Macaca fascicularis: one gene and its partners. The protein of the gene in region 3 purifies or fractionates together with the protein of the main gene of each other region. This does not show direct contact. Links are inferred from orthologs where the notes say so. Each region holds a gene or a part of one and is shown on either strand. Other genes may lie near its edges.

The links. Proteins that work in one complex are often made in the same cells at the same time.
Region 1: the proteins of XRN2 (region 3) and CDKN2AIP purify together in Homo sapiens (affinity purification with mass spectrometry; 4 studies listed by BioGRID and IntAct, with this or other methods). This does not show direct contact. The link is inferred for Macaca fascicularis from reciprocal best matches to the Homo sapiens genes XRN2 and CDKN2AIP.
Region 2: the proteins of XRN2 (region 3) and CDKN2AIPNL purify together in Homo sapiens (co-immunoprecipitation; 6 studies listed by BioGRID and IntAct, with this or other methods). This does not show direct contact. The link is inferred for Macaca fascicularis from reciprocal best matches to the Homo sapiens genes XRN2 and CDKN2AIPNL.

What each region holds. Positions count from the first base shown.
Region 1 is NC_088379.1:188,236,339-188,240,664, forward strand, and holds the start of CDKN2AIP (CDKN2A-interacting protein), read left to right. Parts: upstream 1-1,421; 5' UTR 1,422-1,592; coding exon 1,593-1,864; intron 1,865-2,334; coding exon 2,335-2,465; intron 2,466-2,880; coding exon 2,881-4,220; 3' UTR 4,221-4,326. UniProt on the Homo sapiens protein: Regulates DNA damage response in a dose-dependent manner through a number of signaling pathways involved in cell proliferation, apoptosis and senescence.
Region 2 is NC_088380.1:140,948,881-140,952,957, forward strand, and holds the start of CDKN2AIPNL (CDKN2AIP N-terminal-like protein), read right to left. Parts: upstream 2,906-4,077; 5' UTR 2,853-2,905; coding exon 2,614-2,852; intron 987-2,613; coding exon 887-986; intron 481-886; coding exon 402-480; intron 1-401.
Region 3 is NC_088384.1:65,998,570-66,002,214, forward strand, and holds part of XRN2 (5'-3' exoribonuclease 2), read right to left. Parts: intron 3,012-3,645; coding exon 2,900-3,011; intron 738-2,899; coding exon 679-737; intron 603-678; coding exon 513-602; intron 1-512. UniProt on the Homo sapiens protein: Possesses 5'->3' exoribonuclease activity. May promote the termination of transcription by RNA polymerase II.

The DNA.
Region 1 (4,326 bases), on a different chromosome or scaffold from region 3:
CGATCACAGCTTCTTTTACTTGCTATGGTCCATGAAAGGAGAAATCATAATTTCTCCACCTTTTAAATAGCCAGATTTCTGCAATCCGTCCACCCCCTCTAGATTTTCAGCAATTATCTGTGAAAAGGAGGAAGGAATAGCAAACTAGAAGCAAAATCATAAGCTTCAAAATTTCTTTGTGCCTCCGTTTTTATGCAGTTTCTTTTGGTATGGCAGGAAAATGGACAATATTGTTTTCATACAATAGCTGTATTTTGTTCCAGCATGCGCATAAATTACACAGTTAACCTTATCTGACCTTACCTAAAGCGACCTTTTTTGCTTGATTATTCTGATTCATGCATTTTTACATCAGTCTACATTTAGTGAAAGAAAAAATTCATAATTTATATCATTTAACGTATTAATCTTAAAAGTGCATGTATACCTGGAATGGAAAACGTAATAAGCAAGCTAGCAGTTAGAGTACTTAACTGTGGGAAACGTAAAGTGGAAAAAAATATATAGAAGGAAAATATAGCTCTAACAGGGAGAGGTTTGGGGCCCCATAGATAAATAGGCACATTTCCACTCCACCTCCGGACATCTGCCGGTTGGTGGTAAAGTGGCTGATTTTAGGAAATTCTAGAGACAGAACGTTGTCGGGGTGGTGGTGTGCTATTGACCAAAACAGGAAGGCAATGCCTGGATTAACTAGAGACCTAAGAAACTGCGGGAACAAGCGCAATCGCTGCGGGGCCAGGACTAGCTTCGAAGGCAGCAAGCCTCACAGCAACACGGAGCCGGGTCCTCGTGTGACCTTGGTATGTAAGGAGACCGGCACCCTCATCCTCTTGACGGCGCCGAGACTCCGACGGCCTCGGAACGCTTCGCTCGGGCACACTGAAAGCAGCGCGAGACACACTTCCCGACATTCTATAAACTTGGAGGCCGGCTTTTGTTTGTTTTGGCCCCGCTCACACACACACGCGTCTCAGAGCCGGGACCATAGGCCCCGCGGCTGCTGGCGGCTCAAGGTCCCCCGGGACGCCGCCCTGGAGGACTTTGCCCGCCGCGCCCGGCTGCCTCCCTTGCCGGGCCCTGCCCCTCTCGCCTCTGCTCCCGGCGCCGCAGCTGACCCGGCGCAGGAGGAGGGCGACAGCAGTGCGTGGCGTCACAAAGCGAGGCCAGAACGCCTGGGGTTCCGCCGCGACTCGGTCGTCCCGGGGCAGCCCGACTTGAAATCCGCCCTCACAGGGAGTGAGACGCCCGACGCCCGCTCGCCCCACCCTCGGGGTCCCCTCTGTGCCCTGACCTGGACGCAGCGTCGCGGCGGCCCCGGCGCCGCAAAGCGTCCTGGGAGCGCCGGCTCGCGCCGGAAGAACGCGAGGGCGCGCGGCGGCGGCGAGGTTATAAAAGGGAAGAAGCCGGCGGCGGGCGGAAGTGGGCGGTTCGGCTGCTCCGGGAGCTGTTGTTTGGTCTTTGGGCCTCTGGAGGGGCGTTATCTGGAGGGCCGCCGGTGCAGGCCGCAGTGACAGGGCTGCTCTCCCGGCGCTCCGTGCCAGTCTCCCGTTGCAGCTGTGCTCGCGGCCTCCGCGGCCTGCAGGCCCAACATGGCGCAGGAGGTGTCAGAGTACCTGAGCCAGAACCCGCGGGTGGCCGCCTGGGTGGAGGCGCTGCGCTGCGACGGCGAGACTGACAAACACTGGCGCCACCGCCGGGATTTTTTGCTCCGCAACGCCGGGGACCTGGCCCCCGCTGGCGGCGCTGCCTCCGCTAGCACGGATGAAGCTGCCGACACCGAGAGCGGGACCCGAAACCGGCAGCTGCAGCAGCTCATCTCCTTTTCCATGGCCTGGGCGAACCACGTCTTCCTCGGGTGCCGGTGAGTGAGGCAGCGTCCCTAACCAGCACGCCCCGTTTTGTCTGCCACCTGCAGACCGGCGCTCGGCGCCCTCCGCGGGACCGGCCTCGGCGGGGAGGGGAAGTTGTGAAGCGCGGGAATCTGCCGGCCCGGCTGCCCTCTAAGGGTGAGAAGGGTGTCGCTGCGAGGAGCCGACATGATTCCCGGACGTCTGTGTGCCCCGTGGTGTGGGGGGAGCTGCTGGTAGGGTTGCTGGTGTTAGGGGCAATGCTTTTGGGGACGGGTGCTAGATTTAAGGTTAGTGAGGAGGTACCCTGCCTCGTAGACCCTGGGGCACTTGTTTATGGAGGTCCAGGAAACAGTTCTTGGCGGTTGGTCCACTTTCTTGATTGCAGCCAGGAAATGCAGTTCCTGTGGCCTGTTTTTTGCAAAGCACAAATAGGACCTTAGAAAAAACACTTTTTTAAAAATGGCTTTTTCTTCTTTTTCAGATACCCTCAAAAAGTTATGGATAAAATACTTAGTATGGCTGAAGGCATCAAAGTGACAGATGCTCCAACCTATACAACAAGAGACGAACTGGTTGCCAAGGTGAAGAAAAGAGGGATATCGAGTAGCAATGGTTAGCAGATCATAGATGTGAACATACATAGGAGTTTAGAGCATAAGTTTGATATAATTAGGAATTATCGTTATTAATTTTTTTAACAAGCCAGAATTTTTATGTTATCAATAAGTAATAAAGTTGGAATGTTAAACCTAAACTATGTATCTGTGTCTTTAGGCTTTGAATTTGATAGTTTGACTGCTTTAGATATTGAAGTGTCCACTGTTGTCTGATGCTGTTTTTTTTTTAAATATTAGACATTCATGATGTTATTCAACACTGTTTTAAGAAATTAATGACTCCACACTTTTTAAAGAAACGATTAGTCTTGAAATATTTTCACTTTGTGCCTTTATTTTAATGTGTATTTGTCTCACCCGTTTTATACGAGGTATTCTTAGTCATGTATCTATGTTTTTCTTCTTTTTAGAAGGGGTAGAAGAGCCATCCAAAAAACGAGTTATAGAAGGGAAAAACAGTTCTGCAGTTGAGCAAGATCATGCAAAAACTTCTGCCAAGACAGAACGTGCATCAGCTCAGCAGGAAAACAGTTCAGCGGGTACAGGGGCGGCCATCAAATCAGAGAGTGGGAACTCAGCTTGGAGCGCTGGCATCTCCAGTCAGAATAGCTCTACAAGTGATGGAGATCGATCTGTCTCCAGCCAAAGCAGCAGCAGCGTTTCCTCTCAGGTAACAACGGCAGGATCTGGGAAAGCTTCTGAAGCAGAAGCTCCAGATAAACACGGTTCTGCATCATTTGTTTCCTTGCTGAAATCCAGTGTGAATAGTCACATGACCCAATCCACTGATTCTAGACAACAAGGTGGATCACCTAAAAAGAGTGCTTTGGAAGGCTCTTCAGCCTCAGCTTCTCAAAGCAGCTCAGAGATCGAGGTGCCCTTGTTGGGCTCCTCAGGAAGCTCAGAAGTAGAATTGCCACTGTTGTCTTCCAAACCTAGTTCAGAGACAGTTTCAAGTGGGTTAACTTCCAAAACTAGTTCAGAGGCAAGTGTTTCATCATCAGTTGCTAAAAACAGTTCCTCATCAGGCACATCCTTACTGACCCCCAAGAGCAGCTCTTCAACAAATACATCGCTGCTAACTTCCAAAAGCACTTCCCAGGTGGCTGCGTCACTTCTAGCTTCCAAGAGCAGCTCCCAGACCAGTGGCTCACTGGTTTCCAAAAGCACTTCCTTAGCAAGTGTGTCCCAGTTGGCTTCTAAGAGTAGTTCTCAGACCAGCACCTCACAGCTGCCTTCTAAAAGTACTTCACAGTCAAGTGAGAGTGCTGTCAAATTCTCTTGCAAGTTAACCAATGAAGATGTGAAACAGAAGCAGCCTTTTTTCAATAGACTGTATAAAACGGTGGCATGGAAGTTGGTAGCTGTTGGTGGCTTTAGTCCCAATGTGAATCATGGAGAGCTTCTAAATGCAGCTATTGAGGCTCTGAAAGCAACACTGGATGTATTTTTTGTCCCACTAAAAGAATTAGCAGATCTGCCTCAAAATAAGAGCTCTCAAGAAAGTATTGTTTGTGAATTGAGGTGCAAGTCTGTGTATTTGGGCACTGGCTGTGGAAAAAGCAAAGAAAATGCAAAAGCAGTTGCATCAAGAGAAGCATTGAAGTTATTTCTCAAGAAAAAGGTGGTGGTAAAAATATGTAAAAGGAAATACAGAGGCAGTGAAATAGAAGATCTAGTACTCCTTGATGAAGAATCGAGGCCTGTAAACTTACCTCCAGCATTAAAACATCCTCAAGAATTACTATAATGTGTCCAAAATATCACTGCATACAATATCTGGTATTTGAAGAGAAAAACTGACTTTTGTACAGCATAAAACACAGGCTTTCACAAATTTTGTATTGCTTTTTTTC
Region 2 (4,077 bases), on a different chromosome or scaffold from region 3:
TACCTATGTTTCTAAGGGCAGACCTAAAAAGGGACCAGTAGCTTTTTACTCTATTGCTTCAGTCGATTTTATAAGTATTTTCTGAGTACCTTCTCTGGGGTATAAGTATACTAGGTTTGGGAGTACTAAAGACTAAATAAAACTTTAGACACCATCTCTTCCCTCAAGGTCACAACTGCTTTAAAAGAGGTCTGGATAAAGTGCCAAAGGAATTTTGGAAGATAAGCGAGCAATTAATTCTGCTGCCTGAGCAGATAAATGTGAAACAAGTACATATTGGGGGTGATTCTGTAAAGTATTAATAGCTGGGATGCCCAGCTCCATACTCTGAGGTTCTTTCTGCCACACTCTCTATAGGCCCAGCTCCAGCATCCAGATTCAAGACTCTAGGCAAGACTCACTGTAAAAAATCCATCGCCTGAGATCAGACCCCACAGGATAGAGAACAGCTATGGTATCGACATTGCTCCAGCCACATTCCTATCAGCAAATCAGAGAAGCCAAACTAGTCAGGTCAGCACTCACGGCCAGGGTAAGGATGAGTTAGTTACTCTATTACCAACAAGATTTTTTAACAAGTAGGAAACAAGTATTCTAGCCAACATTTTTTTAAACATCAAGCAAAAATCTCAAAACAATGTTCCTAATCACCCAGAAGAAGTTAAGCTTATGTGTTACCTCATCAACAACGCATAATTTATCACAATGTGTTGTCAACTACTTATGAAAAGGTTATACCAATTATGGGGAAATAATAATGAAAAGGTATAGGTCTTTGGGGTAGTAAACAAGAGCACTCAAAAACAATACTCTAATATAGTGTCATCAAAGCAGGGACTGTTAACTCTACACCATTTCATCACATACACTTGGAAATCCTATTTACCTTTTTCATTAACTCACTTCTGGTAGTAAATTGTGGCAGGTCTTCCACTTCAATCCCATCGGCCATTTCCATCACCTTGTCTAAAAGGTCTTTATTGTAACTGCACAATAAAAAGTAATAAGGTAAAAACCTCGGAAGAATTGTCATTGTGAATTAATAAGAAACTGCAGGTTGCTCAACCATAAAATCAACTCTCAGAGAACTGATCTGATACTGCAGGGCAAACCTATACATGTTCAGCACAAGGTTTTGAGATGGAGTCTTGCTGTATCCCCCAGGCTGGAGTGCAGTGCTGTGATCTTGGCTCACTGCCACCTCCACCTCCCAGGTTCAAGCAATTCTCCTGCCTCAGCCTCCTGAGTAGCTGGGATTACAGGCGTGTGCCACCATGCCCGGCTAATTTTAGTATTTTTAGTAGAGACAGGGTTTCACCATGTTGGCCAGGCTGGTCTCGAACTCCTGACCTCAAGTGATCTTCCTGCCTCGGTCTCCCAAAGTGCTGGGATTACTGGCTTGAGACACTGCGCCTGGTCCTGTGAACACTTCTTGCTTGTAGATACAGAAGTGGACTTTATAAATACCAGTAGAGCAAATGTTTCAAGATTTAGAAGAACAGAGGCACTGTACATCTAACAACAGATATTCTCAGATACGGGATGAGGGCCAAAATATTTTTGTTTATTTTTTAAATACATGGAATGTCAGTCTAACAAAAACATTATTTATTTGCCCAATTCTCTGACATTAGCCTAACCATGGAAAACCAGGATTTCCCAGGAGCACCTAGAAGTCAGGGAAAAGGGACGGGTGCCTCTGGCATTGGTTCCCTACGTACTGTTCTAATAAACCCCAATATGTGAAGCAAAACCAAGTGGCTTAGGCCTGGAGGAGCCAAATGACCAGAGTCAGGCAACCATAATAGGTATAGAAACCAAGATCAAACCAAGTCACCCTATTTTCCTAACACAATTTCAGGAAAATGGAGGCTCTCTAACAGGGAGTCTCAAGATTTGCCACCTTCCTCATGGAGGGGTGAAGGGAATGCCTTATCAGGCACTTCAAAAGCGGGTCTTTGTCCTTTTGGTGCAGCAGCCAGGATGAAGTGGGCTTTGGGACCTTGACAAAAAGGCATCGGTCATTTTCATAAGAGGGAAAACAAAGAGGTAAAGCTGGTTCCTACTTAGGACCCAGTGGGCTGTGGAGTGAGGACAAAAAGGCACAGGATACAGATTACATCCTGTCATTAGTGGTTAAAATCCATCAAACCTGCCAGAAGCTGCATGGTCCTAGTTACATCACTTCCCTCCCTAAGCTTTTTCATCTGTAAAATGGGGATCTCCGTTTCTGTCTCTGCACTTTGCCATGTAGGTGACAGAGGCTAACGGACTTCGAATGCACACTGCAAAGGTGATGGTTTGAGCTAATAATAGTAGTAATACATATAACAATAGCAACTTTTGAACCCGCCATGTATTTAGCTCTTCACCCTTTAATTATTACAGTCATCATAACCACCCTTTTACCAGAAGAGAAAACTGAGGCTCAAAGATAAGGATCGTTCCAAGGGGCCTTCAGGGTGGGAATCAGTCTTCGGGCCGGGCAATGCGGATGGAGGTTGGGAGCGGGTTCAGTCTGGGGCAGAGGTTCGGGTCAGGGGTGAGCCCTGGAAGAGGGCTTGAGGGTCGGAAGAGAGGGGACAGGATCAGCCGGCCGGCAGGGGTCCGCACCTGCAGCCTAGGAAGAGATGGTTGGCCCAGACCATGGAGAGGGACAGCAGCTGGTCCAGGCGGCCACCGCCGTCGGGCGGGTCGCGGTAGTCGGGCAGGTGGCGCAAGATGAATTCCATGCGGGCCTTCCATTGCTTCTCGCTCTCTGAGTAGGAGCGGAACTGCTCCGCGAAGTCGGCCGCCTGCCGCACTCCCGAGACCAGCTCCTCCACTGCAGCTGCCGCCTCGCCACCGACCATGGTGCCCGCTGCAGCCGAAGACCGGATAGCCCGCCGCCTTCCCGTCGCGCACTGCGCCACCACCTGCCAGCCAGAGGGGCCCCGTCAGCGCACGACTGCTCCAGAAGACCAGCCTGGAGCGCCCTCGCCCGGAGCGGCGGCCTGCGGGGGCACAGAGCGGCTCCTGGCTCCTCAGACCGCCGCAGCCCGCGGCGCATGCCCTGGGTCTACCCAGGGCTGCAAGGGCCCTTCGCGGTCGACCCTGCTGGGAACCGGTGGGAAAACTGAGGTCCCTAAGCACAGAGTCGGAGCGCCCTCTTCCAGTTGGCAGCTGGATGCCAGTCAGAGCTATGCTGTATCTTTCTTGCCCTGGGAGTTTCCCAGGCACCGCCTCATCCTAAGGGATATCAGGGGGCCCGGGTCAGGGATAGATAGGTCCACTTCCAGGGGTCTCCACAGCCACGCAGGTTGGGGCCCGCCTTCCTGGAGCGAGTAATCCATCCATCCGGTGAATACTTGCCAGGCACATTGCTAGGTGCTGGAGAGGCAATGAGAGCACACTCGGAGCCCTGCTCGCCTGAACTTTACCATCGAGTGGAGGAGCAGATATTAGTGAACTAATTGCTCAAGTAAGTGGAGAATTTCAGCGTTGACAAGTACTAGTAAAGAGAAGTCCAGCGTGCTACAACCATGAATAAGCAAGGAAGGGACCCAATCTAGTCTTGGGGTCAGGGAAGTGATCCTGGAGAACTGAAGAATGAGCAATTTTCTGAGAAAAGGGGAGTCGGTCAGAGCAAGAAAGAGCATGGCCTGGTAAGAGAATTGCAAGATACGGGGTAGGAGGGGCTGGGGGGCAGGGCAGGTAGATAATGGAGAAGATGAGGTTGCAGAGGTCAGCAAGGCCAGTAGGCCAGGCAGGGATCCTGGCTAGATCCCAAGAATGGGGAGCCACTGAAGGATTTTAACCAGAACAGTGACACCTGGGTTTACAAAAGATGCTGGAAGGAGTCAGAAAGAATGTGTCCAGAGGAAATGAGCAAGTTTGGATTTGGTTTTAAATAGAGACAGGGTTTCGCCGTGTTGCCCAGGCTGAGTCTCGAACTCCTGAGCTCAAGTGATCTGTCTCAGCCTCCCAAAATGCTGGGATTACACGTGTGAGCCATCGCGACTGGCTAGTCCTGAAAGTTTCTATTTAGCTGGCATGACTCGGCTGTCTGTTCTAGGCTCAGGTAGCAGACACACTGAG
Region 3 (3,645 bases):
CAAGGATATAGTACTGGACCATATATGCCCCAAGAATAATCAATAACAGATATCTATTAAATATAATTTACCATTTCTCATTATTAGGGAAGCCAGCTTATGAACCTAAAATTACAAACAAGTTCATTTAAATATTTTTTAAATATTTGGGAACATAGCGATTTAAGGCAGACCCACAACTTACTAATCTTGCTATATTTTGATATGTAAGAATGGAAATTTCCATTTAAAAATTACTTTCCTATATATATTTTTTAAATCATGAATCCCATTTTATGGCTTCATAGTGATGGCAAGACGACAAAATTGGCTTTAAGAGAAAATTCAGCTATCGAAAACCTAACCATGTAAGGATACCCCATCTCCAATAACCCTGGAAGCTTTTCTTTCCTCCGACAGTCAACTAGCATTTTATGGGGCAGGGCAGAAGGATAAATAATGTCAGTCATATCAAAGTACAGCCTTGAATGATCGCCCTTAATCTTTCTGAAGTATCAAAATGTGAAACTTACTGTCAAATTTTTCCACCCAGGGTCATTATTTAAACGATCAGCTATGTAATAGCGAAGGCATTTAGCAAGATTGTCCATAAATTCAGTTCCCTAAAACGATAGAAAGAAACAAATTAACCTATCATTTAAGAGTTAGCAATAGCTAGCAAAGTATGAGACTACTTACTGGTGTAATACAGTTGCTGTCGAATCTTTCTTTTATTTCTTCTGGAGGAAGAAAGCCACCTAGAGAAAAGAGGCAACATTTTGTTCTCCCCATAAAAAGTGAGATACATTACTCAATATTAAGCCAGAACAACAAAAACAAAAAGTTCAAATACAAAAGGAAGTGAAGTCTTGTCATCCGAGGAACAATGTTCCCTCACTGGGAAGAAAATAAGATTCCATCTCTCAAATTTAAATTATTATTATTATTACTATTATTATTATTATTTGAGACAGAGTATCGTTCTGTCACCCAGGCTGGAGTGCAATGGTGCAATCTCGGCTCACTGCAACCTCCGCATTCCAGGGTTCAAGCTATTCTCCTGTCTCAGCCTCCTGAGAAGCTGGGATTACAGGCACCTGCCACCACGCCTGGATAATTTTTGTATTTTTAGTAGAGACGGGCTTTCATTGTGTTGGCCAGGCTGGTCTCGAACTCCTGACCTCCAGTCATCCGCCCTCCTCGGCCTCCCAAAATGCCGGGATTACAGGGGTGAGCCATCATGCTCAGACTTTTAAATTATGTTTTAACAAGAATGTAAAACAATATATGGTACACAAAATACATTATACTGTTACATAAAAATTATGAAGTTATTCACTCTGCAAGAGACTATACACACACACACACACACACACACACACACACACACACACACACACACACACACACACCAGTTAGGGGCCATATTTTTGTTAACAGTTCCTAAAATAAAGGTGCCTAAGTGAAATGAAATTTTAAAGGCCGAGTTCATCACAGCTTTACAGGATAAGAAATACAATTATCAGACAGAGGAATATAAAAATCCAATTTTTTCCTCTATATCACTATTAGCTGCTTCTCAAGAAACAAATATATTTCATCACATCTTCAAAAAAAAAGACATTCTTAAAATCAGAAACACTGTTATAAATACAAACTGGTTTTAGAGTCTTAATTACAAGTTGCAGCTAAAGGAACTATATACTTGTACACTTCCAGCAAAATTAAAGTAATATAAAATGTATTGTAATTAGAGGCCTGAGGTGACTATACTATGGCATCCTTTTTCAACTGTAGAGCGCAATTATCTGGAGCCAAGACATTGTGGCTTTTCTGTTCTATTATAACCCTGTAAGTAGCTGAACACCAAACAAACTACTCTGCTACAACCATACCCTACCTCACACACAGGTATGGTAGGAGACAACCATCCCAACTGGCATCAACACTCCTTGATCCTCCTTTTCTCTGAGGCTTAGTCAGTTCCTACCCATGTAGCCACCAGGAATTTTTTTTTTTTTTTTTTTTTTTTTTGAGATGGGGTCTCGCTCTGTCACCCAGGCTGGAATGCAGTGGCGCGATCTCGGCTCACTGCAACCTCTGCCTCCTGGGTTCAAGCAATTCTTCTGCCTCAGCCTCCCAAGTAGCTGGGACTACAGGCATGTGCCACCATGCCCGGCTAATTTTTTGTGCTTTTTTTTAGTAGAGACGGGGTTTCACCATGTTAGCCAGGATGGTCTCAATCTCCTGACCTCGTGATCCACCCGCCTTGGTCTCCCAAAGTGCTGGGATTACAGGCGTGAGCCACCGCGCCCAACCACCACCAGGAATTTTAAGGCTTTGGGGAACTGCAAAAATGAAGACATCCCACCCCACCCCTCCAAACTTAAAGGAACCATAAGTGCTGTGCCTGCTCCATCAACTTATATTGAAAGTATGCAAATGACTTGGCAACAACCTGTAAATGTGGATCGAATCACCTCTGGCTTCCTCAGATAGACCTGAGTTTCAAAAAGCAAGCAAACCAAAGCTGATTTGAAGAAAATGTTTACAGAACTATAGCTTTCTGACAGCTGCCACAGAGAAAAGTAGTAAATAGTACTTACTGTATTTCTATTTTACAGAGACATAAAAGTTTGTTAAAGAGTTGCACTGGCCCTGAGAGGGGTTGACAATCTGCACTCTCCACCAGAATTCCCTATTCCCAAGGCTCCCTTTTACAGGAGAATTTGAAAATAAACAAGCCTATTAAGCCTATTGGTAGGATTTCATGAACTACTTTTCCTCAACAGTGAACACTGGATATTCTGGGATCCTTATTAAATTAAAAGCTTGCCTATTTGTAAGAAAAAGTTGCCACCATCCCCTCATTCTGCATACATCTTATAAAAAATCCAACTTCAAGATACATATTCTTTACCTTTTGCCAATATTTCTTCCCTGACTCGCTGCTTCTCGACTGCTGCTTCCATTCCTTCTTTTGATGCTCTGAACCTCCTTGAACGCTGCTGGTTCATTTTGGCACGTGGTGCCTGAAAATTTCATATTCCATAATACTAATCAAAATATTCACAAATAAATCTGTACATTATTTTGAATCAGGTGTTCTTTTAAAAGTAGTATACTAAAATGGAAGAAAGGTAAGTAGTGTGTCGAATAATCCTTTCATGGCAGATACCAGATCCTGAGAACTTAAATTTGGACCAAGAACCTAAAAGCTGAGCTCAATCAGGTGAATGAGTGCCATGTCAAATGGACAAACATCCTATGAAGCCAGAGCACTTATACTGCAAGTCCTCCCAGTCTAACACCAGTTCCCCTCAGTTAGGGTGCTTGATTCAAGGCACCCAAGAAAGAAAGCTCACTTTACTCAAAAGACCCAGCCAGCATTTGATGAGTAGTTACTACTGAACTAAGATCAGGAAGACCTTCTCTATGTCCACACCTAAAAGGAAGAATGGTCTCCAGATGGGATTCACAATGTCTCATAAAAAAGCAACAGAAAACTATTTCTTTATCTGCAGAATCTCGGTGCACTTCTATTTCCCACAATAAGGTTTATAATTATTAGTCTGTCTTTTCAATACAGCATAGCAGTCAGAAAAGAAATAATGTTTTAACCAAAAGTACTTTTAAATCACTCTAACCAAATGCAATTTCACTGGA